Oryctolagus cuniculus: one gene and its partners. The protein of the gene in region 5 purifies or fractionates together with the protein of the main gene of each other region. This does not show direct contact. Links are inferred from orthologs where the notes say so. Each region holds a gene or a part of one and is shown on either strand. Other genes may lie near its edges.

Region 1 (4,585 bases), on a different chromosome or scaffold from region 5:
CTGCCGTCTGGCTGGCTGCGGGGCCTCCGCGGGCGGCAGGTGGGCTGGGACGTGCCTGTGCTCTGCAGCTCACACGCTCACCCCCAGAACCCCTCGTTCCCCCAGACGCTCTCCCTTTCCAGGTCTGCCCCAGCCTGGATGGCGGTCATGCCAGCCAGCCCTGCTGTCCTCCACTCCCCCCAAGCACAGGGCTCGGGGCAGGGTCAAGCCTCCGGGGTAGGGGCCAGCCCACACGTCTCCTCGGGCATCTCACCACGGCATCTCCCACAGGAATATCTGCTTCAGACCCCTCCCCAAAGAGTGTCCCTCTCAGAGGTGCCAAAAACACAGGTAGAGGGGCCAGCGCTGTGGCACTGTGGCACAACAGGTTAAAGCCCTGGGCGCCGGTTTGAGTCCCGGCTGCTCCACTTCCGATCCAGCTCCCTGCTAATGCGCCTGGGAAAGCAGCAGAGGATGGCCCAAGTGCTTGGGCCCCTGCACCCACATGGGAGACCTGGAAGAAGCTCTTAGCTCCTGGCTTCGGATTGGCTCAGCTCCAACTGTTGTAGCCATCTGGGGAGTGAACCAGCAGATAGAAGACCTCTCTCTCTGTAACACGGTCTCAAATAAATTAAATCTAAAAATAAATAAATAAATAAATAATACCCAGAGCCACACCACAGGGAACTCAGCCGTGAGTGCGGGGTGGCCTCGGCGGCCTCCCGCACACACCAACCTCCTCTTTCGGCCTGGAAGCTTCTGCCGGGCGGAAACAGCGGCAGCCCCGCAGAGCCCGCGCCGAGCCCACCCGCGCTTACTCTCAGACTGCAGACTGCGGGTCCTGGGCACGCACGCCGCGGGCACGGAATGAACGCTCAGCGCTGGAGCTCGGGGAAGGTGCCCCAGCACAGGTGCGTGCGCGTGGGCAGCGCCCCTGGCAGCCCTCGCGGCCCCTGCACACGCACGAGGCACGGAAGGCCACCACTGCGGCCGCTTCTGAAGCGGGGAAACCCGGGATCTGTCTCAGCACCAGCAGCAGGGGTCAAGCTGAGTGGCTGCAGCGGGCGCTTCCGGCCGCTCCCCGTGGGACAGGAGGGAATCCCACACATGGGCATGTGCAAAGTCACAAAGTGGACATCCAGGGTGCTCCCTCCCGTTACACACACGGCCAAAGGAACGCACCCACTTCCTCTCGGACCCCAGAGCGGCTGCGAGGCGAGGGGCTCAACACAGCCCTTCCTGCGGTGAGTCTCCCAGACGGTAGGGCGCACGGGTGGGAGGTGCCAGAGACCCGGCTCCAGCGACCTGGGGAGGCCCCATGCGTCCCCGGCCTGGGGTCCTCATCTAGACTGTGGCAGAGAGCTGGAGAGCACAGACCAGCTCTGTCGCTCACCCCCTCAAAGCCTCTGTTTCCACTTCTGATCACTAGACTAACTGCCGAGTGTGACAGAACAGAGCTGGCACATAATAGGCGCTCAGTAAACGGCAGCTCTCCCGGTCGCTGAGTGAGATAACCCTGGCCCTGACCACACAATGGGGTGTTGAGAAGAGAGCGGGACACAAGGCTAGCCCTCACGGAAGGATTCCGCCCCTCCGGCCCCAGCCCCTGCTCCCACTGAGACGGCCAGGGAGCCTGGCTGCAGCACTCCCTCCCTGCCCGGTTCTCGGGGGTTATCAGCTCCAGTGCCGACGGGGGGCTCTGCTGAGAACACCCCAGCCAGGCTCTCACCTCCGGGCTCCTGGGGACACCGTGCAGGGGACAGGCGGCTCGCCCCTCAAGGTCACCAACCCAGCCACACCTCATCCCGGGGCGCACTCCTGGCCAAACCGCCAGGAGGTCCTTCCCCAAACACGCCGCCCGCCCCCACACTGCTCCCGCGGATGCAGCGGCGAGGGTACCCTCCATCCCTCTTCTTTGTCCCCATTCCGGGTGTCCTCATCTGCCGGACACCCCACTGCAGCTTAGGGCTCCCTACCTGCCATCCTACACCCACCTGCCATGGCCGCCACACCCCCAAGCTGCGCCTCCACCGCCCAGCTCCCGCGCCCACGCTCCCTGGGCAGTCCCCTGCCCTGTGCCGGCTTCCACCCCAGGACCCCTTCCCTGCACTCGGCAGCCACCCAGATGGGGCTCCCCAGATGCCTTAAGAGGGGAGGGGGCCCTCTTCATCCCGGGGCCCCCGGAAACTCTGTGCCACCCCCGGAGTCACGTGTCAGTCCCCTGGCCCAGACGTCCGAAACACACCCCATCCGAGACTCCCGGACTTCCTCTCCCTGCTCCTCCGGGCTCCCGGCCCGTAGGCAGCCGAGTCCCAAGTGCCCCAGGCGCCCCGTCTATCCCACCCGGACTCGGCTTGCACCTTGCACCTTGCACCTGGTCGGGGACGGGGGCAGGGGATGGGAGACCTGGGGCAGCGGCGACACCGCTCAGGTCTTCCTCCGCAACTCCTCGCCGGAGCTCCCCGAGGCGCCCCCGGGCCGCGCGCCGCCTCCCGCCGGAGCCCCCGGCCGAGCGCGCACTCCCACTCCCCACTTCAGCCGGGGTCGCTCCTCCGCCCCTTTCTTCCCGCCGGCGCCGGCCGAGCGCCGATTCTCGCCTGGGCCCCTCCACTCCCCGCCGCCGCGCCGCGGCCGCCTCAGGACCCCCGGCCCCGGGCTGCCCCCCACTCGCTCCCCGGGACCGTCGCGTCCCCGCCCGCAGCCCCCCCCCCCGGCCGTCCCGGCGGCCATTGCTCCAAGATGGCGGCGGCGGCGGCGGCGGGTGAGGCCGGGCCGGGCCGGGCCGGGCGGGGGGCCGGGGTCCCGGGGTGGCGCTCACCTGCAGCTCGGCGCGCTCGGCCTCCCAGCGGGCCTTCTCGGCCTCGAAGCGCGCCCACTCGTGCTGGATGAAGTGCAGGATCCCCGGCAGGCTGAGGGGCTCCGGGCCCGCTGTGGGCCCGGGGCTGCCTCCGCCGCCGCCTCCCTTCCCTGCCGGGCCAGGCCCGGGGGCAGGGGCAGAAGCCGGGGCCGCCCCAGTCGGGCCGGGACCCGTGCCGGAGCCGAGCGGGCGGCAGGGGGAGGCGGCGGCGGCGACTGCGGCGGCCGCTCGCTCCTCCATCATGGAGGCGCCGGGGCCGGCCCGCGCGCCCGCTCAGCCTCGCGCGCCTGCGCGGCCGCGCCAACCCCCCCCCCCCTGCGCGCGCGCTCGGCGGGGAACCGGGGGACGGGGGCGAGCGTGAGGCCGGGCGCGAGCCTCGCCCACCCTGGGCGACCCCGAAGGCGCGCGTGCGCGCAGGGCTGGGGGGCGGGGACGGGCGAGCCGAGGAGGGGGCCCGGGAGACCCAGGCCCCGCGCGCGGCGGTCGCCCTTGCAGGAACGAGCCTGGGGGCAGGGGTCGTGTTCTGTCTCCTTCCTCCCACGTCACCCCGAAGGAAGTCTTACTCTTTCTAGACCCACGTACCCGTGCCCCGGACAGTCAAGGGCGACCACCAGGGGTGGTGTAAGCGCGGACGGGCATCCTTTCTGAGCACCGGCTTGGCCGGTTGTCATGGTAACCTTTCTCCAGCACGGAGCGTCCCCCACTCCCACCATTATGGTTATGGAGCCCCAAACCCTCTGCACCAGGAGGAGGTTGCTAAGGTAACCTAAGCCCCTGCTGGTCCTGCCCCTACCTTCTTTAGTTACTATGGCAACCCCCTCTCATGTAGCACCCAGGTGAAAAAGACCGAAGCCCCCAAGGACACTAATCTCTTGAGAGAAGCATCTCTTCTTCATCCCCTCCCCCGTAGCCACCCTGCTGGCATTACCATGGTAACCATCTCCCCCTTCCCATCAGTGGGAGGTCCCTGGACCAAACCAACCAGGTGTTTTTATTTAGAGGAGAGACCATGCTGGAGGGCCAGTTGCCATGGTGACAGGGCCTGGACCATCCCCAGGGAGGTCAGAAACAGGCAAGGCCGAGCCCTGGTTACCATGGTAACAGGGCAGCATTCCCCCCCTTCCAGTGACCCTAGGAACCGGGCCTGCTAAGGTAGGGATGTGGAGGTGTTGTCATGGTGACCGTTTGTGTCACTGCCAGCCCTGCCTCTTCGGGACACGGTCATAAGAGAAGTGGTTACGGGTTGCCATGGTGGCTGACCTCCCTCCCTGCACACCCCTCTCCTGAGATGCCCCAGGTGGTGCCCGAGCGGATGGGACTTCGGGAGGAAGGACCCCCTGACCTGCTCGCCACCTTGGCCGGCGGGCACAGCCAGGCTCTGCTGTGTGGCATTGGCTGAGTCGAGGTTTCTGGTTCTTCCTCAGCTGTGCGGCTGAGCTGGGCTGGCGCCGCCCTCCTGGAACTCCTCCAGCCTGCGACCTAGGAGGTAAGGAGCCCTGGTGTCGCCAGCACGCGCGTGGAACCTGTCCTGTCCTCGTCCCCCGGGCTTGCTCCTGCTCCCGTCTATGCGTCACCTCCCTTCCCTTCTGCAGCTGCAGGGGCTGAAGCTGAACCCAAATCAGAGTTCAGGCCCCGGGAATCCCGTCCGGAAGGAAATCCGGGCCCGCCACACCGTTTCGTGGGAGGTGGAGAGACAAATGAGATCCCAGCTTCGCTGTCCTCCCCTTCGCTGTCCACCTCTGTCAAGTG
Region 2 (3,364 bases), on a different chromosome or scaffold from region 5:
CTGAAAGGCAGAAAGAGAGTGAGAGAGAGAGAGAGAAAAGCAACATAGAGACAGAGATTGATTAATCTTTCATTTGCTGATCCACTCCCGAAGTGGATACAATGGCTGTGGCTGGGCCAGGCTGAAGCAAGGGGCTTCATCCAGGTCTCTCGTGTGGGTGCAGGGCCCAAGCACTTGGACCATCCTCTGCTGCTTTCTCAGGCACATCAGCAGAGAGCTGAATTGGAAGTATAGTAGCTGGGACTTGAACCTATGACCATATGGATGTCAGCATTGCAGGTGACTTAACCTGTGGTGCCAGAACACCGGCCCCCATTCAATTTTCTAACTATCCATTACCTTCATAGCATTAACCCACTATCTCTCTCACTATCCCCCAGTGTAGTGGGCCATTTGATCACTTTACCATTCCAATGAAATTTCACCATGACAGCTGGCATATGGCCTATGGTAATCTGTGTCTTGAATGGACTTGTGGGACACACTCAGGGCACTTAGGACATCAAGCCAAATCACGGGACTCAAAGTATAGTCTTGGATGGAGATAAAAATGTTTGCATTTGAGTTGCTTTTTAGTCAAATTCTCTGCAGAACATCAAACAGAAATTTGATGAATTTTAAGGTGACACACAACTCTCCATTAATGCATAGTAGATGAGCAAAATCCACTGGTATTACTGGGATTTGTTGCTTTTAGGACATATTGGAGAGACTGGAATTAATTCTGTACAGCAGTGCAAAAGAAACTTTACATCACACATAGAACTAACAAAAACCTCTTTTTAATCCTGTCATTCCCATGCAGCATGGTGCTTAATGTTATGGGAAAACATTGATGAGTTTAGTACTCATTATTCCAACTACTTTTTGATAAATCTAAATAATAAGATAACATGAGGTAACTTAGAAATTTGAAACGTGAGTAAACAGACAGGGGAATGAGTTGAGGAGTGAACCTAGTCCACCATCTCAATGCTGCTTTCGTGTTGTCTACACAGCATTATGAATGTAATAATTCTCAGGAGACAATAAAACTCATCTAAAACAAAAGTCAAATACTAGTACTAATAATGAAAGACACCCGAGTAAATAGTGGTTCTTCAGTATAAAATGGGAGTGTTAGATAAATAGAAATATAGTACCTAAGCACTGTGATGTGAATAATTCTATGGTATATTCTTCACACGGGGTAAACTGCCTGCATTGAGGATTTCCTACTAGGACAAAATTGAAAAATGTTGACTCATATTTAATAGAGGAAAAGCCACATTTTTTTAAAGCATTTAACCATGCACACGTGAGTGTGCACATACACAGCCCAAGCCCCTCAGCATTCTCTGAACAATGTGACCACTGCATTGCCCTGGGGGAGAACAGCTGACTTAGATTTTTCAAGTATGTTTCCTGGGGACTAACAATAGGTTCTCTCAAATTAAGAGTAAAGACACCAGGCACAAAGTGCCAACTCTTAGCACCAGAGAGACTTAAACCTTCACAGGATGTTACAAAGAAGAGAATCTGCCCATTAAGTTCTAAGCAGTTGCATTCCTTCTGTCAAGTGGGAAAAAAACCCAGGTTTATGCCAAATAGATTTAAAAAGTTAAATACTTTTAAAAATCCTCATAAGTGTATTTCACAATCCTATATAAAATAAAGTTCCTGTCTTACAATAAAATGCTTGAAGTTCTAGAGATGTGGAAAACAAAAATGAACTGAAAACAGAGCTTATAGAAAATGAAGGTCCCAGGATGAAAATCAGAAGTAGTTTCCTGCAGAAAGGAATGGTGAAATTCACTGTGTATTCTCACCAATACACCTAAAACTGTTTTGTGGACAGCCAATATTAACTGGTACTCTAAACTGTCACGTGGGAAGTTTAAATCAAGTCTGAGGCAAGATACTGAATGGACAATACTCCAATGGAAAGACAGCAACTTCCTTCCTTGATAAGACAATTTCCAGCCATCATTCAGAAGTTCAGTTATTTGATGGCTTGGGAAGCAGTGTCCACTGAATTCTCCTTTCTGACCTGAAGTGACTCGCTGCTGATAGACAATAATTCTCGTAGTTCCTTGTTTTCAAGCTGAAAAAAAAAAAGAGAACAGATACATGTTTATTTCCAGGATTTGTACTGCCAAATTGCATCAGGACAGATTGGTTTGGGCCAGGAAAAGAAAACTTATTTTCATTTTAAGGTTATAAGGAAATTCAAAACACACACACACACACACACACACACACGCTGAGACTTTCCTAAAAGACTACTTATTAATTTAACATTTACTGAGTACTAAAACTGCAAAGAAGAAAAAACACAAAGTCCCTTGAGGAATTTACCATTTGCCATACCCTTCATGGTTCCCACGCGTTTTAACTACTGTTTCTTCAATTTTCAATTTCTAATAATCTTTTCACTCTCTCCTTCCAGCTCTCCCACAGTTTTAGAAAATGAGAGGAGAAAGGTGGCAGGGAACTAGTGCTTGAGCATGCAGGGAGGTACCTGCCAGGTTCATTATGTATGCCATCTTACAGCACTCTGTAAGGGAGGTCTCTTTGCTGACATCCGTATTCTACTCAAGATAAAGATGCTGTAGTTCGTAAAACTCCAAAAACTTGTCCAAATCCAGGTCACCTGGATGTGGTATTGCTGACATCTGTGTCCAATGACCATTTTTTTTTTCTTTCTTAAAATAGTAAGTAAAACTGGTCCCACATTTCCTTAGGACTGTATCCATAACTGAGGTAAACCAGGAATAGTGCAGACAAGGGTGATTTGTTATTTAGCTAGCCACGAAGTCCTTCTTAGGACTTGCCACTCCCTTTGATTCCCAAACAGAGCTTACACTCTTCATCTTCACTCTCTCTACAGGACACTGAGACACCGCACTTCTTCAGCCTCGCCAAGGGGTCAGAGCCCACGGGCAACACACCTTCCACCATTCCAAGTGCTTCCCCGGGACTTCCATCCCTCTCCCAGCACTTGCTCTCATTTCATATCACTTCACTTCTAGTCTTATTCTTCCTGCTGGGTGCTGGGCAGAGAACTCTTTTTCTCTCTGGCAGTTCTTTTTCTTTTCCTTCCTTCTGTTTTTCTTTTTTAATTTAAATATTTATTTATTTATCAATCATTTGGTTCATTCCCCAAATGGCCACAGCAGCCAGAACTGGGTTGGGCTGAAGCCAGGAGCCTTTTCCAGGTCTCCCTCATGGGAGCAGGTGCACAAGTACGTGGGCCACCTTTCGCAGCTTTATCAGGTGCATTAGAAGGGAGCTGCAGGAGAAGTGGAGCAGCCGAGACTTGAACCAGTACCCAAAAGAGATAGCCAGTGTCATAGGCAGTGACTTAACCCACTGCACCACTGTG
Region 3 (4,589 bases), on a different chromosome or scaffold from region 5:
GCAGTGGAGGATGGCCCAGGTGCTTGGGCCCTGCACCCCATGGGAGACCAGGAAAAGCACCTGGCTCCTGGCTCCTGCCATCGGATCAGCGCGCTGCGCCGGCCACAGCGCGCCAGCCGCGGCGGCCATTGGAGGGTGAACCAACGGCAAAGGAAGACCTTTCTCTCTGTCTCTCTTTCTCTCTCACTGTCCACTCTGCCTGTCAAAAAAAAATAAAATAAAATAAAAAAATAAAAAAAATAAATAAAAAGAACAAGTAGGGGCAAAAAAGGTGTGTGTGTGGTAGTGACATAAGGTTGTTGGTGTTTTATTTTGATAAATATGGGCTTAAAAAATCTTTTTTGAAAAAATGCTTTTAAAAAAAGTTAATACCTCCATTAGGAAGGACAGAATCCACGAATAAACAATAATCACTAAAAAGGGTTTTCAAGCTTTCTGGAAAAATAATACAATTTACTTCATAACCTTGCCCCTGCCCTCCCTCCACAAATCAGAACAAAATTTAACAAAAAGTTTAATACTATATGTGATGCACTGATAATTTCCTATTATTCTGTGTCTTAAAAAAAGTGATGATCCCCTTTCACAGGTTGCCCCCTGCAGTATGAAAACGCCTGTTTTAAACTGTGTAATCCTTTAAACTTCACATATTGAATTAAAGTTTAGAAATTCAATTCAATGCCCTACATTTTCCTCATTTTGTCACAGTCCAGTCAAAACTTTCCCAAGGAGGAGATCTGACTAAACGATGTCTGAGGTGAACCCTTTTGGTAAGCCCACACTATTCTGTTTTCCCTTTCCACTTCGTGTATCCACACACTAAGCCACCAGAGGAAGGATCAACAGTGCCCCACAAATGCAGTGATGCACAGGGAGGCTCCCCTGACCCATGCCAACAGCAATCCTCTTCTAGCCATTCTCGAGGGACCTAGGGAGGAAAGAAAGCCTTGCCCCATGAGGACTGTCTTCCACAGGAGAGCAGAGAGGGGGAGGGAAAGCGGATCTGGCACTTGGGTAGCGCGCTGACGGGGGCTGCGCTGACAGGTAGCAGCAGCTCCCCTGCGCAGTGGCAGGTGGAGGGAAGCCAGCCTTTCGGTAGGCATGAGCCTGGACAGAGCGGCTCACGTCCGAGCGTGGAGAGCCCAGCTGCAGACAGCCGGCAGGTAGGAGTCTCGGGACACTGAGCTCATTGGCAAAAGCCAAGCGCTGTCAGAGCCTTTTCCTGAAGGATTTGCCAGAGGGGCCCTCTACCTCTTCCTCAGAAGGGCTTAGACAAGGCACAGAACACACTACTCTGAAATGATTTTTTTTTAATTTTTATTTATTTATTTGAATGCTCTGTGTTTCCACCCCTACTAGAATGTTAGCTCCACAAGGGCAAAGACTTCTTACTCACTGATGTTATCTCCTGCACCTAAAAGTGTCCCCCACACTGAATGAATGAATGACTCACCCCTCCCACTCCCCACCCCCCTCACACCTCTACAAAGAAAACATCTGAGCAAGAACAGTGTATCCATGGGGGAAGAAGGCACAGGGTGCCCAAAGACCAAGAAGACAAGAAGCAAGTTCTGCAAGAGACAGAACTTGGGGAGGATCATCTCACCTCCTCCAGTACTTTAAAAAAATGATTCTTTGTCTGCATCAAAATGGAAAGCATGCATGAAATCCTGGAAACAGGGAGGCGCTACTGAGATGGTAAACTGGCCCGCGATGTCAGACACCTGGCTTCCAGCACCAGCTCTGCCACTTGATGGTGATGGCGGCAGTAGGAAAGTCCTAAGCGCTACTAGGCACTGACGGATGCACCTTGCTGAACACTGCATACCGAATGATTGATCTCCCTTTGACTTTGTCACAACGTCCTGAATAAGCAGTGTTAGCCCCATTTCACGGATGCGGAAACTGGAGCCGGGAGAGGTTTGCTAATTTTCCCAAAGCCACACAGATGATAGATACATGGTAGGACTGCGATTCAAACCCCGGCCTGACTGACCCCAAAGCTCTGGCGCTCTGGGCCACTCCCTGCGCCAGCTGTCTGCTCTCGGGAAAGGCAGGGCCCCGAGGTCTGTGCTGACCCTCCAACATGCCCCGTGTGCGGGCTCTGCCCTGGGGTCGCAGAGGGAAGCCCGCTGGGCGACCCTGTGGGGGAGTGCTAAGAACTGGCTCCTTGCATCTAGTTGGGATTTCCTTTTTCAGAAGCGGAGGAAACGGGCCAGATATTCGCACTCCTATCTGTCTACTGGGGTAGTTCCATCCCCGCGGCCCCGCCGGAATTCTGTCTCGCTTCACCCCGACGCCCGCGGGAGGCGCTCCCTAGCCGGCCTCGGCCCACGCGCGGGCACGGGATCGGGATCGGGATCGGGAGGGGGAGCAAAGAGAAGAGGGGGTCCGCCGCAGCAGCCCGCAGCGGGAGCGCGGCCGCCCGCTCCCCGCCCCTCAGGCCGGTCCCTTACCCTCCCCTCCCCACTGGGATCTGAACCCCTGCCTCAGGGGGCTGCGGCGACCCAGTGAGAAGAATATTAGAAAGTGTCCGGTACGCTCGACACCGCGCTCCTTCGGCGCCCCCGCCGGCAGGGGTCAAAGGGTAAACGGCTCCCGGCCCGCAGCTGGACACCGGCGGAGAGGGGCCGGGACTGCAGAGCCCGGAGTCCGGCCGTGGGGAACCCCGCGGGCGCCTGCTCCCCTGAGCGCGCCAAGGGCTCCCGGGCCGAGGCCGAATCACCTCTGCGCCGCTTGCTACCCGGGAGTCTCCCAACCACCGCGCTCCGGGCTCCTCACCTCCGACTCCCGCCGCTGGCTTCGGAACGCCTCCCGGCCCTTGGCCGCTGCCTGCTTCCCTTTGCCGCCACCGTTGCTGTTGCCGTTAGCTGGCGGGGCGGCGGTCTCGGGGGCCGCGGGGTCCTCCATGCGGCTGGTCAGCGGCTCCCTTCAGCGGCTCGGCTCGCTCTGCCCGGAGCGACCTGGCTGCCGCGCGCCCGGAGCCAAGCCCCGCCCCCGTCGTCGCTATTGGCTACGGCTGCGCCCTACGGTCCCGCCTCGAGGTGCGATTGGCTGCTCGACCGGTCGGAGCGGGACGAGGAGGAGGTGGGGGCTCATTCAAGGGATTTTTTTTTTTTGAGTCCTGCGGCATTGCTGGTAGCCAGAGATCCCTACATTGGCTCCAGCTTCCACTTCCCGAACTCTTGCTTGGTGTCCCTCTGTCCTCACACCTCTCAAATCGCGATCTTTCCCCAGAGCTTCAGTCTCGGCCGCCTCCTCCCCTGCGCGCTCCCCTTTCCCATGGCCACAGACCTGGACCCTCTGCCATTAGCGGCGGAGACACCGCAGGAAACGCGAGACTCGCCTTCTCCAGAGCCGAGATGTCTGAGGAAAACGCACCCCCACCCCCGGAATGGGCGGCCGGCGTTGAGGGGTGGGACGGGGACGTTTGTATTTCACTGAAATTGAAGATTCCCTTGAGGAACCTCCTGGTCCTCTGCCCCTGTCAGCGGCGGCGGACACCGCGCTGCCCGGCCCCGAGGCCTTTCCTCCTTTCTCTAAGACCCCAGGGGCTCAGTGTTACCGGGGGGCTAAGGAGGCTCTGTGGTCTGCTCGGCTCTGAAGCTGTCTAGAAGGCGGCGAGGGGGCAGGAGTCAGGCAGTGCAGCGGGATTGCAGAACCACAGGCTGCGGGCGATGGGTGGGCCCTGACCGCAGCTCACAGCCCGGCGGCTTTAGGAAGCGATGGGGGGCCGGGGGTTAGAGCTGCGTGTTAAGCCCAGCGTGGCGCTAGGCGCTTTCCGAATAGCACCGGTGAGAATACCGCCCCCCACCCCGGACACCCCAGAAGCTACTCCGTGCAGTTCCCAAGGTGTCAGGCTGTCTTAGCTCAGCATCTGTTCTCTATCTGGAGGAGAGATTCCGGTTATCACCTCTCTGCTCCTGGCACAGGGTCCTGTTCAACCCACTTGAGCTGTGTTGGTGTCACGCCAATTCTGCCTGGACCCCGAGGCCTAGCATTTCTCACTAATATCCCCCAAAGCAACAGGGGCCCAAAGGACACCCCCTTCCCACATCTTAGGAACAACTCTGACCTCTCAGACTCTCCCTCCGCTAGTTAGCAGGTGACAGATCAAGGCAGGTTTGAGAGAGAGAGAGAGAGAGAAACTCCTTGAAGCTTTCTGGGTTTTTCTCTTGTTGCCCAACGTCTCCTGACTGTACCAAGACATCTGCCCTTTCCTCCCCCATTCCAATCTCTACCGCAAGCTGGATATAAGCTCCCAAAGAGTAAGAGCCATTTTCATTATCAATGTTTAACCATATTGTTATTTGGGGATGAAACCTTTTTTTTTTTTTTTATTGTGAGGGGGGGCTGTCCTGTGTATTGTAGGATGTTTAGCAAATCCCTGAGCTCTCCGTACTAGATGCCAGCAGTACCCTTCCTCTAATTGTGACAACCCAAAATGTCTCTAGATATTACAGAACATCCCCTAAGGAGCAAAATCTCTGGTTACGATCCACTGGTTAACAGAACTGAACTGGCAAGAATTTCCAAGAAAGTCCTTGGCTCCAGGCCTAAACTATTTGACTATGGAGATTTTTTTTTCA
Region 4 (3,910 bases), on a different chromosome or scaffold from region 5:
TCAAAGGCTACAACTGGACAATCTCATCAACGTGTTCCATCAGAGGTGAAGACGGTCCGTAGGGACAGGCGTGTGACCTGGTGATTAAAAGCCCCACATCCTGGATCAAAGTGCCCGAGCCTGATGCTCACCTTTGGTTCCTGACTCCAACTTCCTGCTAAAGCGGACCCTGCAAGGCTGGGGTGATAGCTTAACTAACTGGGTTCCTGCCACCCATCTGGGAGATCTGTACTGAATTCCTGACTCTGGTCAGGCCTGATACTGGCTACTGCGAGCACTGGGGAGTGAGCCAGTGGATATGACAGCTCTCTCGCAAATAAAAAATAAAAACAGGGAAGTCAAATAAGCTAGTCGGCAGCCTTCCTCCTCCACCTAGAATGCTACGGCAGCCTTACTTCAACCTCTTCTTTTTTATTTTATTTTTTCATTTTATTTATTTATTTATTTATTTATTTATTTTTATTTTTTGACAGGCAGAGTGGACAGTGAGAGAGAGAGACAGAGAGAAACATCTTCCTTTGCCGTTGGTTCACCCTCCAATGGCCGCCGCGGCCGGCACGCTGCCGTTGGCGCACCACGCTGATCCAATGGCAGGAGCCAGGTACTTATCCTGGTCTCCCATGGGGTGCAGGGCCCAAAGGACTTGGGCCATCCTCCACTGCACTCCCGGGCCACAGCAGAGAGCTGGCCTGGAAGAGGGGCAACTGGGACAGAATCCGGCGCCCCGACCGGGACTAGAACCTGGTGTGCCGGCGCCGCAAGGCGGAGGATTAGCCCAGTAAGCTGCGGCGCCGGCCTCAACCTCTTCTTAGTCTCAGTGGTCCTTTCTAACACTGATCCGTTCTAGCCCCTCTTCTTGCCTAAATTCAAGCCCAAACTCCCCAGTCACCACCCAGCACCCTCTCATGCTCTGTAGTCCAGGCCAACCGAACAGCTAGGTGTGGTCATGCGACCAACTCTGGCCCATGGGATATGTGGGGTATAAGCTGCCGTGATGGGCCTTGTTCTCAAGAGGAGTGGCCGGCCACTGTGTGCTGCCTTTGCCTTTCCTGGGGCCTGGGGGACAGTAAAACACTAGGGCAGTCACCGCAGACACAGGGACTTGAGGTTGCCAGGGTTAATCCACTAGTGTAGGGCCACCTGGACTGCTGTGAAGAGCAATCTTCGGTTTTATTTAGGACACTGAATCCCGAGACCCCGAGTACGGCACTGTGGTCCTCACAGCACCTACAGCACCTTCATGGAACCCTGCAACCATCCATCGGCACGCTCCACTGCTAGTCTCTGAGGATTCTTTTCTTCAGATTTTTATTCTTTTTTAAAATACATAGTAAGAATATTTCATTCTTTTTCTCATATTCCTAATGCCCAAGATAAGGAGCAGCACAGAGCTGAGGACACAAAATAATGCTGACAAGTGAGTGACCTCTGTGTACACGGTTGTACACTCATCAGCTGAGCAAAGCTCTGGGGGTCTGTTGCGATTCTAGGAGAATCCCAGCTGATGTGAGCAAGCAGCTGGCCCTCCCGTCCCTTCTGCAAACCCGGAGCCGAGGTCCCGCCTGCACCCTTACCTCATCCTTCAGCTGGGCCAGGAAGAGGGGCAGGAGGTGCTCGATGGTGTTGTCCTTGCCCAGGATGGGCGAGAGGCCCATGATGACCGAGGCCAGCGCTGACTTGACGTGCTGGTTGGCGTCTGACACCAGCTCCTGCGAGGAAGAAGGGGTCAGGGCGATCTCTGAAGCACCACACGCCAAACGCACATCAACTTGTAGGAAGCCTCAGACAACAGCTTGCTCTTGCCCTGTCACTCAGAGCAGGGTGAGCTGACTCTGGGGGACATTCAGTTCCTCAAATGTCCCACTGACTCAGAGTTTGATGGTTCCTGCTGCTAGCAGCCCTCACCCCAATCCAACAGTTCTATGGGTAAGGGGACTCCGAGACCTCCAAGTCAACCCCAAGCCTCAGATTTTGCCTGCAATCAAGACCTCAGTGGCTTCAAACCAAGGACTGCCTGGTCCCAAAGGCTGGAACCCAGTTTGCTTCTGGATGTCCCCAAGCCTCCTGACACCACCCCCTCTTCTTGGTAGGCTCAGACCTGCTCCATTCGTCCCCAACTCTCCGTTACCTTGATGCAGGGCAAAATCTGGGTCATGATCACATTCTCCCGACAGTCGGTGGAGAGATTTTCACAGAACTCTGGGTGGGGAGAAGGAAGGGGGAGGGTGGGATGAGACCCAATGGCCTAGTCCACGTGCAGTCCCTCAGATACCCACCCGACTTGCTGTGTTCTGGTCGCCAGCACCAACCTTTGACCTTGTGGGAGGCTGCGGCCCTCACCTCGGCCTCACAGTCCTTCATCAAGTTCTGGAAGGCAGGGACCAGGTCTGTCTTGGTGATCTCAGGCCCCACTGCTTTCTGGAGCTGCACAGGAGAAGGGAGATGGGGAGTGTGAGAGGTCAAGTCAGTTAAAGGCATGGGGGTCAGATAGCAGGGGAGGGGCCCTGGGGTCACCCTGAGAAGTGCAGACAGGTGGATCAGAGAACAGGGGAGGGGCCCTGGGTCACCCCTGAGAAGTGTAGACAGGTGGAGCAGAGAGCAGGGGAGGGGCCCTGGGTCACCCCTGAGAAGTGTAGACAGGTGGAGTAGAGAGCAGGGGAGGGGCCCTGGGGTCACCCCTGAGAAGTGTAGACAGGTGGAGCAGAGAGCAGGGGAGGGGCCCTGGGTCACTCCTGAGAAGTGTAGACAGGTGGGGCAGAGAGCAGGGGAGGGGCCCTGGGTCACCCCTGAGAAGTGTAGACAGGTGGAGCAGAGAGCAGGGGAGGGGCCCTGGGTCACCCCTGAGAAGTGTAGACAGGTGGAGCAGAGAGCAGGGGAGGGGCCCTGGGTCACCCCTGAGAAGTGTAGACAGGTGGAGCAGAGAACAGAGGAGGGGCCCTGGGTCACCCCTGAGAAGTGTAGACAGGTGGAGCAGAGAGCAGGGGAGGGGCCCTGGGTCACTCCTGAGAAGTGTAGACAGGTGGAGCAGAGAGCAGGGGAGGGGCCCTGGGTCACCCCTGAGAAGTGTAGACAGGTGGAGCAGAGAGCAGGGGAGGGGCCCTGGGTCACCCCTGAGAAGTGTAGACAGATGGATCAGAGAGCAGGGGAGGGGCCCTGGGTCACCCCTGAGAAGTGTGGACAGGTGGAGCAGAGAGCAGGGGAGGGGCCCTGGGTCACCCCTGAGAAGTGTGGACAGGTGGAGCAGAGAGCAGGGGAGGGGCCCTGGGTCACCCCTGAGAAGTGTGGACAGGTGGATCAGAGAGCAGGGGAGGGGCCCTGGGTCACCCCTGAGAAGTGTAGACAGGTGGAGCAGAGAGCAGGGGAGGGGCCCTGGGGTCATCCCTGGGAGCTAACGCAGTGCTGTGGTGTGACCTCAGGCAACGGTCTGCGTCTCAGCTTCCTTGGAAGCAAAATGAGAGCTGCGCCTTCCTCAGGGTAGTTTTCCTTACAAATAACAACAGATCTCATTGTTCAAGCTATTGTGGGCTGGGTTTTCTGTTAGTGGATTAAAAAAAAAAAAAGTTCTAATGATACTGTGGATTCTTTTTTTAAAAGACTTATTTGAGAAGAAGAGTAACAGACACACACAGAGAGGGAGAAAGAGATCTTTCATCTGTTGGCTCATCCAGATGTCCCCAAGAGCTGGGGTTTGGACAGGACAAAGCCAGGAACTCCATCCAAGTCTCCACATGGGTGGCAGGGACCCAAGTCCTTGGGCTATCATCTGCTACCTGCCAGGTAGCGGGAAGCTAGATCAGAAGCACAGAGTAGCCAGGAGTTGAACTAGGTCCTCTGTTATGGAAGCAGGCATCCCAAGCAGTGGCTTAACCTGCTGAGCCACAATTCCTACTCCCTTACTTTTTGATTTATA
Region 5 (4,504 bases):
ACAGAGAGAGAGAGAGACAGAGAGAACTCCATCCAGATCTTCCCTGTGTGTGGCAGGGACCCAAGTACTTAAGCCATTACCTGCTGGTTCCCATGGTGCAGATTAGCAGGAAGCCAGATCAGAAGCAGAGTAACTAGGATTCAAAGCAAGCACTCCAGTACTGGATGCTGGCATCCCAAATGGCAACATAACTGCAGCACTAAACACTTGCCCCCTCCACCCTGCCTTTTTTTTTTTTTTTTTTTCTTTTGGAGTTTTTTTTTTTCTTTTATGATCAATTCCAAACACAGTACAGGGAAGATGGAATGAATACGAAAAAATATCATTTTATTTCCCCATTAAACACTAAGTCATATTATTCAAAATGTGTTTCAAAATCCTTAGCCAGATAACCAATTCCAGTCACTATTTTAGTTCTAATGTTCACCAAGAAAATAGTCAAGTAACAGAAAGCCATTATGAGAAACCATCAAGAGAGAAGAGCTACATTGCTATCTATAATTTAACTTAGTAGGTTATTCTCTCAATATTCAGCAAGTTTGCTTAAAAATTACTATTCCATTAGTTTATAGTGACATTAAAAAAAAAAAACGTATAATTTCAAACTCAACATTCCTTTCACCGTGAACATAAAACTTCTAAAAGATAGCTGTGAGTTGGGGTACAATAAGGACTGTGGCTGCTGGGACAGTACTGTTCAAAGCCAAAACGATTGGCAGCCTTGGAAAGGCATAAACTATATACACACACTCTCAGTATGCTACTATTTCTCATATTTTTTTCTTTGCATACTTGTCTCATAATATGGTATAAATAATTTCTTTGAAGACAATCAAGATGAATACATTTTCATCTTCATTTCAAAATAACTATTTTAAATGAAAAATTTTCTCACATTTGTTAAATATGTCTTAGAGATGAGTTTAAGTATTTTCTTCACTACATGTATAATTTTTCTACCCTATCTTAGTGCCTCATTACAATCAATTTGGCAATAAGACCTCTCTAGTACTCCATGAAAAACTGCATTCAATAGATTATAAGATCGTTACATCTGCACCCAAATTCTTATATGCTACAACAAAGTCTAAAAAATGTATGGCCATTCATCAACACCCTTGCATCAATTATTGCAAATAACCTCACATATGTATTTAATTCAAATTTTGTGGAGAAAGGGTACAAAATAAATACTACAATATTTCTTTAACTCTAATGCTGCCTAGAGTAAGATGAAAAGATTAATATTACTGAGAGGAAGAATCAAATGGCTTTAAGGTCTGTCTTCCAAGTAGTTAGAAAATTTTCACAAAACAAAGAGCCTATGCCAACACATCTTTCTTGTAGTGTAATATAATTGCTAATATGAGGTAAATCTGTAAGCAATTAATACAAACATGAGTATAAACAGGTATAAGTCACCACTAAGTCACAGTCTGGTGAAAGACTTCTCAGCTAAAGTATCTGGGGACAGGATTATGGGAAGTGAGAAGGGGGTGAACAGTTTTCCAGTGGGAATACCTTTTATGTGCCTTATCATTAGCATCAACTTATATGTAACAGTCCACTGCTGTAAAAAGGTATATCCTTTCCAAGTATGCTGGCCTAGAATATACTTTATATAGCATAGTAAGATTATATAAGAATTACTAATGCTTCATTTGCATTTATATTTGGATATACACATAATCATAAATGCATATCAAAAACTATAAACAGAATTTTAAAGTACTTTTATCTCATTTTGGAAAAGTTTACAGTTTATGTTCTATAGAATTTTCTATAATATCTAAATTCAGGGACAAAATGAAAGGAAAACATTACTATCTCTTTAGTAAATGGTTTGTGCAAGACCTCAAGCTTACTCATCTTTTTATATATGGGTTTATTTGATGAGGATTGTAATCCAATGATTGTTTAGCAGCAATTTTACCAAACTGTAAATTCTTTTATTAACAGGCATTATAAACAGATAATACTAATCTTATTTAAAAAACCATGAGTGCCACACCGGTGAATATACAGCTTATGAATAACTTAAAAAGTATTTCCCCTTTTAAAAGGCAACACACAGCATACAAAAACCTAATCTAAACAAAGAAGCTATAATATGAATACATGATTGATGTGTCTAAAATGATATATACAGTACATAATGAACGTTAATTATGTGATCAGTACATTTTTCTGTACGATTCCCTTCATGCTTCACTTTCTCCAGAAACTGAATTCTGAACTTCCTCTTCTAAAATTGGTACAATCAGGTTATCCTTGGACATCAAATTGTATTTCATCACAAATTTAGTAAACCGATGACACAAAAAGGTTTCATTTTCATATTCATCAAATATCTGCCGGTGATGAAAATAAGCATGCGAAAATATTCTATAAATCCTACGGCATACTGATCCTAGTTTTGCTACAGATGATTCCTTTATGCTAACCCTGCTAGGAAAATATTTATTGCTATTCAGAAGACATGCAGCACCATCAAGCGTGTGTCTAGTATAGTCTATAGCAGGACACTCTTTTGGAGTTTTATGAGCTGCACACAGAAAAATCCACTGTTCAGTTGCTGTCATTTGAGTACAAGTATCTGGATGGCATTCACTCTGAAGTTTGACAGCAAGTCCATTTAGCTCAAGACAGAATTGCCTTAAATGTTCATACTTCCATACACCTTCATCTTGGCCTTCAGGTGGTTCAAGAATTTTATCAATATTGGAGCAATCTGCTCTTATGTTCTGCTGAATATACTGCTGAACAGCAAGTGTACTGTCCATTTCATCAAAGGATTCATCAGGCCAATTATAGAAATCCTGCGCCTTGGTGCCCGGCCTGTTCCGCCTCAACACTGCCGTCCCCTCCGCCATGACCATAGTGCCAGAATCTCCACCCTGCCTTTTAAGAAAATTTCTATTCATCTGTGAGTTTTTGAACTCCTGTGACCATGCATCACTCTGGACTTATGTTGAGAACTGACCCCAGGGAGGCACGCATGGGTGCAGAGCAACCTGGTAGGAGATATGATGGTGCTTGGCTGCCACAGGAATGCTGTAGTCATACCATTAGAATCTGGATACACACAGAGGAAGTGAGGGAGGGATGCAGGAGGGGAGGGAGAGAGGAAGACAAAAAAGAATCTGGATATTCTTGCTAAGGTAGAGCCACCAGGAGGAATGGTTGCCGAGTGAGAAACAAATGAAAATTATATATATATGTGTGTGTGTGTGTGTGTGTATTATATATATAAAAGTGAGAACAGTAAATGTGTTTTTAAAAATTTTATTTTTTAATTTTGATTTTCAATTAGTTATAAGCAGTCAATGTAACATGTAGATACAATTCTATGAACATAGTGATATTGCCTTCCTCCTTCCCTCCCTTTCCCTCTCTCTCTTGCTCCAAAATCTCTGAAATATCCCAAGAAATCCTAAAGAACACTAGCCTTTGACCATTAGTTCTGATGTTCCCTGTCTTCATGATGCAGTTTATTTTATTTCCTTGAAAAGTAGAGTTGCAGAAAGAGAGAGAGGGAGAGATGGGAGAGAAAGAGATCTCCCATCTACTAGTTCACTCCCCAGATGGGTGCAAGGCTGGTGCTGGGCCAGGCTGAAGTCAAGAGCCAGGAACTCGGTCTCCCTCATGAGTGCAGGGACTCAAGCACTTGGGCCATTCTCCACTGCTTTCCCAGGCACACTAGCAGGGATCTGGGTCAGAAGTGGAGAAGCCAGGACTCCAATCAGTGCCATAATGGGATGCCGGCATTGCACGTGGTGGCTTAACCTGCTATGCCACAACGCCAGCCCCATGATGGCAATTCTTACCAGTGTCCTTGGCCATGGCTGTTAGTACTGGCATGTCAGCTCTTTCTCTCTGGTAATTACATTGGCAGGACTCGGTCTTCCTGTATTTTCTCTTGTGTGAAGCCTGAGACTACCCTTTCAGTGAGCTTCAAAATTTGCATGTTGGCTGCAAAGAGAAAAGCCATTTACTGCTTCCCTGAGAAGTTGGCTGGCTTTTTGCAATAATGGCTTTATTTGGACACATGTACAAAGACTTAGAAGAGTAAGCACAGTCTATCAGAAACTCTCCTGAACAACTCTGCTAGCATCAGACCCTTGAAAATGTTAGCAAGTGTTGTCAACTGTATTATTCTGAAATGAGCGTGTCTTTCCAAAAAGGATTTGACCTTTACCCTTCAAAACTGTGACAGTAAAAGTCATCACTCATCTGCTTTTCCCATCTCTGGGTCTTTCTCCCAGCTCCTTAGTGAGGGGTTAGGCTTGATATCCAGGAAATAGCCTTGAAGTCCTCCGAATCATTGAGAAGCACGAGGGGAGGTGGGAGGCCGTCCCACATGTGACCACGTTTTAGGGGATGTGGTTCCAGTGCAGCCAGTCTTGGGGCTCCAGAAAGTGAAGCTCAGTAAACTTCGTGAATCCTGGCGCGCTCTCCGTGGCCAGCCCGCTTTCCAGGGTGTTGAATGTCTGGCTTGGCCCTT
Region 6 (3,910 bases), on a different chromosome or scaffold from region 5:
AGGGAGGGGACGGCAAGGCAGGCCCCGGCTCTCACCTCTGTACACGCTCCACCAGGCGCACCACCAGCTTGTCCGAGATGCCAGGGCAGGCCTCCTCCGCCAGGCTGAAGGCGTTCTCCAGCTCCTCCAGGGCCCCCACGCCCCCGCCACTCTGCGAGTGCTTCTCTCTGAGCTGAGAGCACAGCCACGCCCGATGCCAGTGCTCAGCCAGAGGGCAGGGCAGGGGAGCCTTCCAGGAGCCGACCAGTGGCACCACACAAGGCCCTGTGACCCCACACTGCCCAGGGGGACCTACTGCTCCTTCTATCACAAGGCTCAAACCCCAAGGCTAGTGCTGTGGTATAGTAAAGCCTCCGCCTGCAGTGCCAGCATCCCATATGGGCGCCAGTTCAAGTCCCGGCTGCTCCACTTCTGATCCAGCTCGCTGCTATGGCCGGGAAAGCAGTAGCAGATGGCCCAAGTGCTTGGGCCCCTGCACCCACGTGGGAGACCTGGAAGAAGCTCCTGGCTCCAGATTGGCCCAGCTCCGGCCATTGCAGCCATTTGGGGAGTGAACCAGCAGATGAAAGACCTCTCTCTCACTCTCCCTCCCTCCCTCCCTCCCTCCCTCCCTCTGCCTCTCTGTAACTCTGCCTTTCAAATAAATCTTTTTTAAAAAAGAAAAAGGCTCCATCTCTCCTCTGCTTTCTAGGGAAGAGTCTGGGGCCTTGGTTCTGAGCGGGGACTAGAGGGCCTCCGTCCATGAGGTCTAGAAGCATGCAGCCCCGGGCATTCGGCCTCCCGGTGAGGAAGGTGCCTCTGACCCCAGCTTCCTCCTAATGCAGACCCTGGGAGGCAGTGGTGAGGGCCCAGGTGGGAGACCTGGCCTGAGCTCCCAGCCCCAGCACATCCTACACCCGGCCACTGCAGGTGTTTGGGGGAGTGAATCGGCAAACTCCCAAATGCGCCACACGGCCAGGCCTTAGCACCATGCCGCAACTGGACACAGGCTGGGGCTGGCAGCCACCCTCTGCCTGGACTGCAGGTGCTGCTATCACACCCGAGGGTGGCCGTGCTGTTCCTGGACCTCCACCCCAGCCCGGGGCAGGGGGCCCCCAGCTACATCACATCCAGGGACTGATGCAGACCCGGACACACATCACTTGGCCACCAGGAGTCGCCCCTGGGCCCCCTGTCTGGGATGCCCCTCCCACAACCACGCCTTCTCCCTACAGAAGGATCAGCTGGTGTCTACTCTTGGCGGAAAAGCATGACAGGAAACAAGTTGTTCATGTCAGCCTGGGATGCCAGAGGCCCTTGGCAGGCTGCAGTTCCCGTCCTTCCCCCCAGGAAGCCCCGCCCACAGGTCTAACAGGAGAGACCGCCAGGGGAACCACGTCACAGGCCCAGCCTGCCCTCACCTCTCCAAACACGGGCCGGACGAGCGTGGACAGACACTGGGACCTGGGCTGCCTCTTGACTGGCTCCGCTGGCTGTGAGGGGAAGCCAAGGCACAGGGCAGGTCACCCTCCACGTTTGACAGTGTGGAGTGGCACGGAAGACACCAGGAGTTGGCTCCACACTACAGTGGCCTGAGCTGAGGGCCCTGTTCACCAGTGCTGCTCGGTCAACTCTGAACAGGCCCCACCCAGGGCTCCACGCCTTCAGCACAGCACCACCCTGGGCCTCAGACCCCCACTCTGCCCTGAGCTCTTTGTCCAGGCCCCAGGTTGAGGGTCTTCACCCAGCCCATGTCTGCTGCCCACGGGAGCTGAGTGGGCCCAGCCTCCCAGGCCGGGCCAGGACGCACCTTGTGTGAGCCGTGCAGGGCGGTCCCCTTGTGCAGCTTGCTGTGCGGGCTTGGCCGGACCGTCGGGGGGAACGTCCAGACGGGGCCCTGCTCTCCATCCTCGGCCTCCCCGTCACTGGAAAGGACAAGGAGGGCGGGATCCCCCAGGGCCCCAGGACCCGTGGTTGAGTTTCTGGGAGGCTCTTGATGCTGGGGGAGCCCTGTCCAGGGTGCAGCACCCAGACGATGCCACGCGTCCCATCCTTTGTCCAGGGGACTAAACCTCGAGGGGGGACCCCACCCGTGCCGGAGAGCCCAGGGCCCCTACATGTCCGAGTCCTCGGAGCTGGACTCCTCGCCGTGACCCTCCGACTTCCAGCGCTTATAGCGGTCAATGAGCTCGGTGAGGAAGGAGGTCTTCTTGGTGTAGCGCGTGATGAACTTGTGCTTCAGCAGCTCCTTGGCCGTGGGCCGCTATCAGGGTGAGGACACCCGTCAGCAGACACCGCCACGCCTGGGCAGTGTGCACACACACGACAGGCTGGGCGCTGCCCCGGGGAGGCCACGCACACGACAGCTGGGCGCTGCCCTGGGGAGGCCACGCACACGACGGGCTGGGCGCTGCCCCGGGGAGGCCACGCACACGACAGCTGGGCGCTGCCCCGGGGAGGCCACACACGTGACAGGCTGGGCGCTACCCTGGGGAGGCCACACACGTGACAGGCTGGGCGCTGCCCTGGGGAGGCCACACACGTGACAGGCTGGGCGCTGCCCTGGGGAGGCCACGCACACGACAGGCTGGGCGCTGCCCCGGGGAAGCCACACACGTGACAGGCTGGGCGCTGCCCTGGGGAGGCCACACACGTGACAGGCTGGGCGCTGCCCTGGGGAGGCCACACATGTGACAGGCTGGGCGCTGCCCTGGGGAGGCCACACACATGACAGGCTGGGCGCTGCCCTGGGGAGGCCACGCACGTGACAGGCTGGGCGCTGCCCCAGGGGAGGCCACGCACACGACAGGCTGGGCGCTGCCCCGGGGAGGCCACACATGTGACAGGCTGGGCGCTACCCTGGGGAGGCCACACACGTGACAGGCTGGGCGCTGCCCTGGGGAGGCCACACATGTGACAGGCTGGGCGCTGCCCTGGGGAGGCCACACACGTGACAGGCTGGGCGCTGCCCCGGGGAGGCCACACATGTGACAGGCTGGGCGCTACCCTGGGGAGGCCACACACGTGACAGGCTGGGCGCTGCCCTGGGGAGGCCACACACGTGACAGGCTGGGCGCTGCCCTGGGGAGGCCACGCACACGACAGGCTGGGCGCTGCCCCAGGGAGGCCACACATGTGACAGGCTGGGTGCTGCCCTGGGGAGGCCACACATGTGACAGGCTGGGCGCTGCCCTGGGGAGGCCACACACGTGACAGGCTGGGCGCTGCCCTGGGGAGGCCACACATGTGACAGGCTGGGCGCTACCCTGGGGAGGCCACACACGTGACAGGCTGGGCGCTGCCCTGGGGAGGCCACACACGTGACAGGCTGGGTGCTGCCCCGGGGAGGCCACACACGTGACAGGCTGGGCGCTGCCCTGGGGAGGCCACGCACACGACAGGCTGGGCGCTGCCCCGGGGAAGCCACACACGTGACAGGCTGGGCGCTGCCCTGGGGAGGCCACACATGTGACAGGCTGGGCGCTACCCTGGGGAGGCCACACACGTGACAGGCTGGGCGCTGCCCTGGGGAGGCCACACACGTGACAGGCTGGGCGCTGCCCCGGGGAGGCCACACACGTGACAGGCTGGGCGCTGCCCCAGGGAGGCCACGCACACGACAGGATGGGCACCGAGGCTGGGAGTCACCTCTGAATCCTGCTGCCCCCTGGGTGAACACCCCCCCATTCTGGGAGCTGCGCAGGCCACAGCCTGCCTGGGTCAGGGGGTGAGGCGGGCCTTACGAAGCGGGGGTCCTTGTTGAGGCAGGCCTCCACGAACTCCTTGAAGGGCTTGCTGTGGGCACCCTCCAGCGTGGGTGGGTTGTTCTTGGGGATCAGGAACAGGACTCGCATGGGGTGCAGGTCGGAGTTCGGGGGCTCCCCCTTGGCAAGTTCGATGGCTGTGATTCCCAAGGACCAGATGTCGGCCT
Region 7 (4,368 bases), on a different chromosome or scaffold from region 5:
TGTCCCAAATACTTGGGTCCTGGTATTCCACATGGAAGACCCTGACTGAATGCTAAGTTCTAGGCTTTGGCCTGGCCCAGCTCTGGCGCCTGTGGGCATTTGGAGTGAACCAGTAAATGAGTGCTCTCTCTGCCTCTCAATGGGTGAATAAAAAGTGGGGTGGAAGTGACATCCACCAAAAATGATCTATTCTATGGAAACCTTTACATAATACCTAGCTATAAATATTTCCATCTTTCTGAATCTCAAACCTGAAATCATGGACACAACAATGGAGATCTAAGTCAATTAACGTCACAACTATGTTCCACAAAGACATGGAAAAACCATGAACACGGAGTCCATGAAGCATCAGCCCTCTCACCTTGGCACCCTCTATTACCTTCTATAGTCTGAAAAACCCCCACTACTTGCAGGCTCCATCTCCTGCTGCTCCTACCCATTCATACCTTTCTTTCCAACTCAACTCAAAGCTCCTTGACAATACAAGGACACTTCAAAAAAATTCATGGGGTCAGCACTGTGGCACAACAGGTTAAAGCCCCGGCCTTGCAGCACCAGCATCATATGGGCACCAGTTTGAGTCCCAGCTGCTCTACTTCTGATGCAGCTCTCTGCTATGCCCTGGGAAAGCAATGGAAGATGGCTCAAGTGCTTGGGATCCTGAACTCACATGGGGGACCCTGAAGCTCCTGGCTCCTGGCTTCGGACTGGTTCAGCTCCAGCTGTTGCAGCCATTTGGGGAGTGAACCAGTGGATGGAAGAGCTCTCCTTCTCTGTAAATCTTTCAAATAAAATAAATTTAAAAAAAGTTTATAGAGAAAAGAATTATAAGTTTATTTGGATGCAAAAGTTTTGCCATCCATGCAGTTTTTTCGTAATAGGCATCTTTCATGAACTTTCTGAACTATCAACCTTACATCACTATTTTTTGCTGCTTTTCATGCTCCCATAAACATATGCAATCTTGGATATTCAATAAGTGCTAAAATTTTAAACACAAAGAACTAATTTCAGATGAAACTGCATAATCTCCAAAGCTCCCAGAATACATTTTAATTCCTTCTTCTATAGACAGGAAATCAAGGACTATCTGAGTGTCTGCCCCGAAGTTAACCAAAATCACTCACTTAGGAGCAGGAAGAGGACCAACTCCCAACTGCTGGTCTTCCAACTACATCCCCGTCTCCCTTCTCAGTGTTTTCTTCACAAATGACTAGTCATCCAATCACTGACTCAAAGTGCAGTCCGTAAAGTTCTGAATCTGCAGTCAGTCAAGTCATCATTTATATTAAGCTAGAAATTAAGACCTGGCAATACACATTAAGTAATTTTCAAAGTCCTATTTCTAAATCTTTAAAAAGTAAAGACTAGCCTCATATGATCTGAGAGAATTTCAAGTCAAGAAACTGGAGATTCAACACACTGGAGCCGTAGGATCCAGCTCCAGCAGATGATGTGCTTGCCCCACTATTAGTGCTCTGTTCAGGCTCGGGGAGAAATAAATCTAACTTAAATTCCAATAGTTTACAGCATGATTTGTCTGGAAACCTCCACTACATGAACCTAATGTTCACATGGAACCACAAACAAGTCAGCGTTAACAGTTCTCCAAAAACTCTTTTCACTAACACACAATGCTGGCAGTACTCCACAATTCTGTGCTAAAATGAAATGCTGTTAATTGTGCAAAGGGTAAATTTAATATGTTCGTAAGGAGATCAGTATTTTGTGTACTGTGGGAAACTTAACAAAAATTAAAAATTACGTACAGCTAATGGATACTCCGTTTCCCCAATCCCTGGGGAAAACCAAAACAGATTTTGGTAACAGAAAACACAAAATTCAATGTTATTTCGTGGACAATATTCCACTCCCAACGCTTTACGATATTTCAACCTGAAGCGCAACGTCTGGGATAAAGTGCTCACTAGCAAGTATTACTACCATTTGCAGCCCAAAACGGACAAGCATGGAACTTTTTCAACGAAGAGAGCACAAAATTCGCCGCGTTTCCAGGTTACGTTGCTCATTTTTAAAAACAAATGGCAAAACGCCAAGTATGTTAGGCTCAAGAGAAGGGTTCCTCACTGCCCGGCTTGAGTCAGCATATAAATCATAGGTTACACTGACTGGATTTCCAACCCAGAAGCTCCTTATGTAGTATGACTCACCGAATTCCCCATTTCTTCCAACTCTGAGAAAGAAGTTATACTCTGTCCCCTTAGAACTACCATGACCTTCGCAGAAATTAGGTTACAGGCTTTTTTTTAAAAAAATGCTTAAAGACACTCCTCCAAGAGGTCTCCGGGGGCAGAGCCTGGGCCGGGTGGACACTATCCCTCCCCCGGGTGGCGGTCACGCCGGGGCCTCAGGCCCTCAAGCCTGCTTCTGGGGGCTGCTGCGGGCAGCGCGGGCTCCGAGACGCCCCTCAGCGCACCACAGAGGCCCACTCCCACTCCCGGGCCACGCACCCCAGCCCGCCGACCCGGGGGCCCCAAGCCGTCCCCGGGCCTGGCCACGGGGTCTCCGCTCCTCCTGCCACCCCGCCTGGAGCCCGGGCCCGCAGGCTCCCAAGACCCGGCGTCGGGTGAACGGCGCCATTTTAGGCGGCGACGACAGCCAATCCGTGCGCGGGAGGCAGGGGGCGTCGGGTCGTCCGGGAGCCGCCGCCGGCCAGGCCAGGCCGGGCGCCGGTCGGGGAGGCTCGGCCCGGCCGGCGGCCTCCGCCATGTTGCACCCTCCTCACGGACACCGCCTCCTCGGCGGCCCCGGCAGGCCGGGCGCAGCTCACCTTCTCGCAGAGGCTCTTGACCTGGGACTCGGACAGCTGCTTGCACTCGTTCAGCTGCTCGATCCACTGGTCCAGCTCCTTGGTGAACACCTTCTCGTCCATGATGCCACCCGCCCCAACCGGCTGCCGCTCTGCGCTGCTCCCGCGCCGCCGCCCGCACACGGGCCACACGCACACGCCGCCGCCGGCTCCCGGGGGGTACTTCCTTGGCCGCTGGCGGTCGCTCGGCGCCGGCGCTGGCCGCTGGCTCTCCCCGCAGTGCTCGGCCGCCGGCCGCTGCGCCTCCTCCGCTCGCCCTAGCTCCGGAGCTCGCCTCTGTAATGGCGGCTGCCCGGCGTGGTGACGTCACGCGGCGTCAGGAGGCGGCGGGCAGCCGACGGAGAAAGAGCCCGGACGCAAGCTGCGCAGCCACACGGCGGACCCGGGTCGGGCGCACGGCCGGAGAGGGGGCGCAAACGAGGGGCCACAGCGCAGGCGCGATGTAGCCGGCTGGAGACCGAGGCGCCTTCGCGTTTAGGGCGTGGTCTCTTAGAAAGGAGAGGCCTGGGGGTTGGGGGTGGGGGGGAAGACCCGAGTCCGAGCATGCGCAGTGCCCGCAGCGGCGAACGGGCTCGGCCCGGAGCACTACGCCCCGAGAGGCGCGAGCGCGGGCCCGGCGCAGGCGCAGTCGGGGACGCGGGGGTGTGGGGGTCTCCCGTCAGCCGGAAACGTGTTTCCTTGGGAAGGCCTCTGGGGTGCTGCTTGGCAGCCAGGTCACGGAGGCGAGAGTCGCGACCCCATGGCTTCTCCAGGGTGCAGGAGCGCGGGAATTGCGTGGGACTCCCGCATCTGTGGGAGCAGGAATGGGCGCGGCCGGCACCGTGTAATTAGGTCGGTCGTGGGCGGGGGAGGTACACCTGTCGCGTGGAGCCGCGCAGGGCACCTGACTCCCAGCACACGTCTGTCCTCGGGCCTGGGCGTCTCTGACGGCGGGCCCCGGGTCCTTGGCCCCCTCGACCTCGCTCATCGTCGCCTTGCGCTCCCGGTGTGCGTGCACCTTCCTCCTGGTCCGAGAGCCCTGGCCGCGTGCCGGCCACGATCCTAGAAATGAAAGCGCAGACACCCTGCGATCCGACCGGCCTTGCCCTGGTCCTGAATGCCTCCGGGGTTCGCGCAACCTCGCATCCCGTTTCCCCTACATTTGCAGAAATACTGGGCTCCTTGCAGGGCCAACTGTGTGCCACACGCAGGGCCTGGGATATGAAGGGGTCGTCCGAACAGGTACGGGGCCCTAACTTCATGACGGAGCCCATGGTGCTGCCTGAAAATTGTTGGGAATAGCGATTATGATGACTCCAGGAAAAGCTTTACCAAGGACAGTTAGCCGTGAAGGACAAGGCAAGAGCTGGTTCTGGTCGCCTTCAACCCTGCCACTCCCAAGCGCCCTGACTTACCCAGGAGTGCATCGCCAGCAGCCGGTGGCGGAACTGAAGAGCCTTCGTCCAAGACAACCTGCTGGGCGAGGCCCACTGGCCCGGCCTTCCCCACTAGTGCCTCCCACTAGTGTGCCCAGAAGAAAGCCCCTCGACTCCTCC

The links.
Region 1: the proteins of MOB-like protein phocein (region 5) and STRN4 purify together in Homo sapiens (affinity purification with mass spectrometry; 3 studies listed by BioGRID and IntAct, with this or other methods). This does not show direct contact. The link is inferred for Oryctolagus cuniculus from reciprocal best matches to the Homo sapiens genes MOB4 and STRN4.
Region 2: the proteins of MOB-like protein phocein (region 5) and SIKE1 purify together in Homo sapiens (affinity purification with mass spectrometry; 4 studies listed by BioGRID and IntAct, with this or other methods). This does not show direct contact. The link is inferred for Oryctolagus cuniculus from reciprocal best matches to the Homo sapiens genes MOB4 and SIKE1.
Region 3: the proteins of MOB-like protein phocein (region 5) and STRIP2 purify together in Homo sapiens (affinity purification with mass spectrometry; 3 studies listed by BioGRID and IntAct, with this or other methods). This does not show direct contact. The link is inferred for Oryctolagus cuniculus from reciprocal best matches to the Homo sapiens genes MOB4 and STRIP2.
Region 4: the proteins of MOB-like protein phocein (region 5) and PPP2R1A purify together in Homo sapiens (affinity purification with mass spectrometry; 9 studies listed by BioGRID and IntAct, with this or other methods). This does not show direct contact. The link is inferred for Oryctolagus cuniculus from reciprocal best matches to the Homo sapiens genes MOB4 and PPP2R1A.
Region 6: the proteins of MOB-like protein phocein (region 5) and STK25 purify together in Homo sapiens (affinity purification with mass spectrometry; 4 studies listed by BioGRID and IntAct, with this or other methods). This does not show direct contact. The link is inferred for Oryctolagus cuniculus from reciprocal best matches to the Homo sapiens genes MOB4 and STK25.
Region 7: the proteins of MOB-like protein phocein (region 5) and PPP2CA purify together in Homo sapiens (co-immunoprecipitation; 7 studies listed by BioGRID and IntAct, with this or other methods). This does not show direct contact. The link is inferred for Oryctolagus cuniculus from reciprocal best matches to the Homo sapiens genes MOB4 and PPP2CA.

The regions. Positions count from the first base shown.
Region 1 is NC_091449.1:10,643,199-10,647,783, reverse strand, and holds the start of STRN4 (striatin-4), read right to left. Parts: upstream 3,123-4,585; 5' UTR 3,080-3,122; coding exon 2,798-3,079; intron 2,741-2,797; exon of another isoform or gene 2,684-2,740; intron 1-2,683. Other genes in the region: ribitol 5-phosphate transferase FKRP, read left to right, coding at 3,506-3,597, 4,261-4,322. UniProt on the Homo sapiens protein: Calmodulin-binding scaffolding protein which is the center of the striatin-interacting phosphatase and kinase (STRIPAK) complexes.
Region 2 is NC_091438.1:55,569,608-55,572,971, reverse strand, and holds the end of SIKE1 (suppressor of IKBKE 1), read right to left. Parts: intron 2,084-3,364; coding exon 1,982-2,083; 3' UTR 767-1,981; downstream 1-766.
Region 3 is NC_091434.1:165,636,211-165,640,799, reverse strand, and holds the start of STRIP2 (striatin-interacting protein 2), read right to left. Parts: upstream 2,992-4,589; 5' UTR 2,911-2,991; coding exon 2,782-2,910; intron 1-2,781. UniProt on the Homo sapiens protein: Plays a role in the regulation of cell morphology and cytoskeletal organization. Required in the control of cell shape. Calmodulin-binding scaffolding protein which is the center of the striatin-interacting phosphatase and kinase (STRIPAK) complexes.
Region 4 is NC_091449.1:6,440,779-6,444,688, reverse strand, and holds part of PPP2R1A (serine/threonine-protein phosphatase 2A 65 kDa regulatory subunit A alpha isoform), read right to left. Parts: intron 2,425-3,910; coding exon 2,310-2,424; coding exon of another isoform or gene 2,277-2,309; intron 2,200-2,276; coding exon 2,129-2,199; intron 1,739-2,128; coding exon of another isoform or gene 1,710-1,738; coding exon 1,575-1,709; intron 1-1,574. UniProt on the Homo sapiens protein: The PR65 subunit of protein phosphatase 2A serves as a scaffolding molecule to coordinate the assembly of the catalytic subunit and a variable regulatory B subunit.
Region 5 is NC_091440.1:69,971,459-69,975,962, forward strand, and holds MOB-like protein phocein, read right to left. Parts: upstream 2,890-4,504; 5' UTR 2,880-2,889; coding exon 2,202-2,879; 3' UTR 307-2,201; downstream 1-306.
Region 6 is NC_091434.1:286,507-290,416, reverse strand, and holds part of STK25 (serine/threonine-protein kinase 25), read right to left. Parts: intron 3,909-3,910; coding exon 3,723-3,908; intron 2,243-3,722; coding exon 2,097-2,242; intron 1,905-2,096; coding exon 1,790-1,904; intron 1,473-1,789; coding exon 1,401-1,472; intron 173-1,400; coding exon 36-172; intron 1-35. UniProt on the Homo sapiens protein: Oxidant stress-activated serine/threonine kinase that may play a role in the response to environmental stress.
Region 7 is NC_091437.1:22,518,896-22,523,263, forward strand, and holds the start of PPP2CA (serine/threonine-protein phosphatase 2A catalytic subunit alpha isoform), read right to left. Parts: upstream 3,031-4,368; 5' UTR 2,897-3,030; coding exon 2,795-2,896; intron 1-2,794. UniProt on the Homo sapiens protein: Catalytic subunit of protein phosphatase 2A (PP2A), a serine/threonine phosphatase involved in the regulation of a wide variety of enzymes, signal transduction pathways, and cellular events.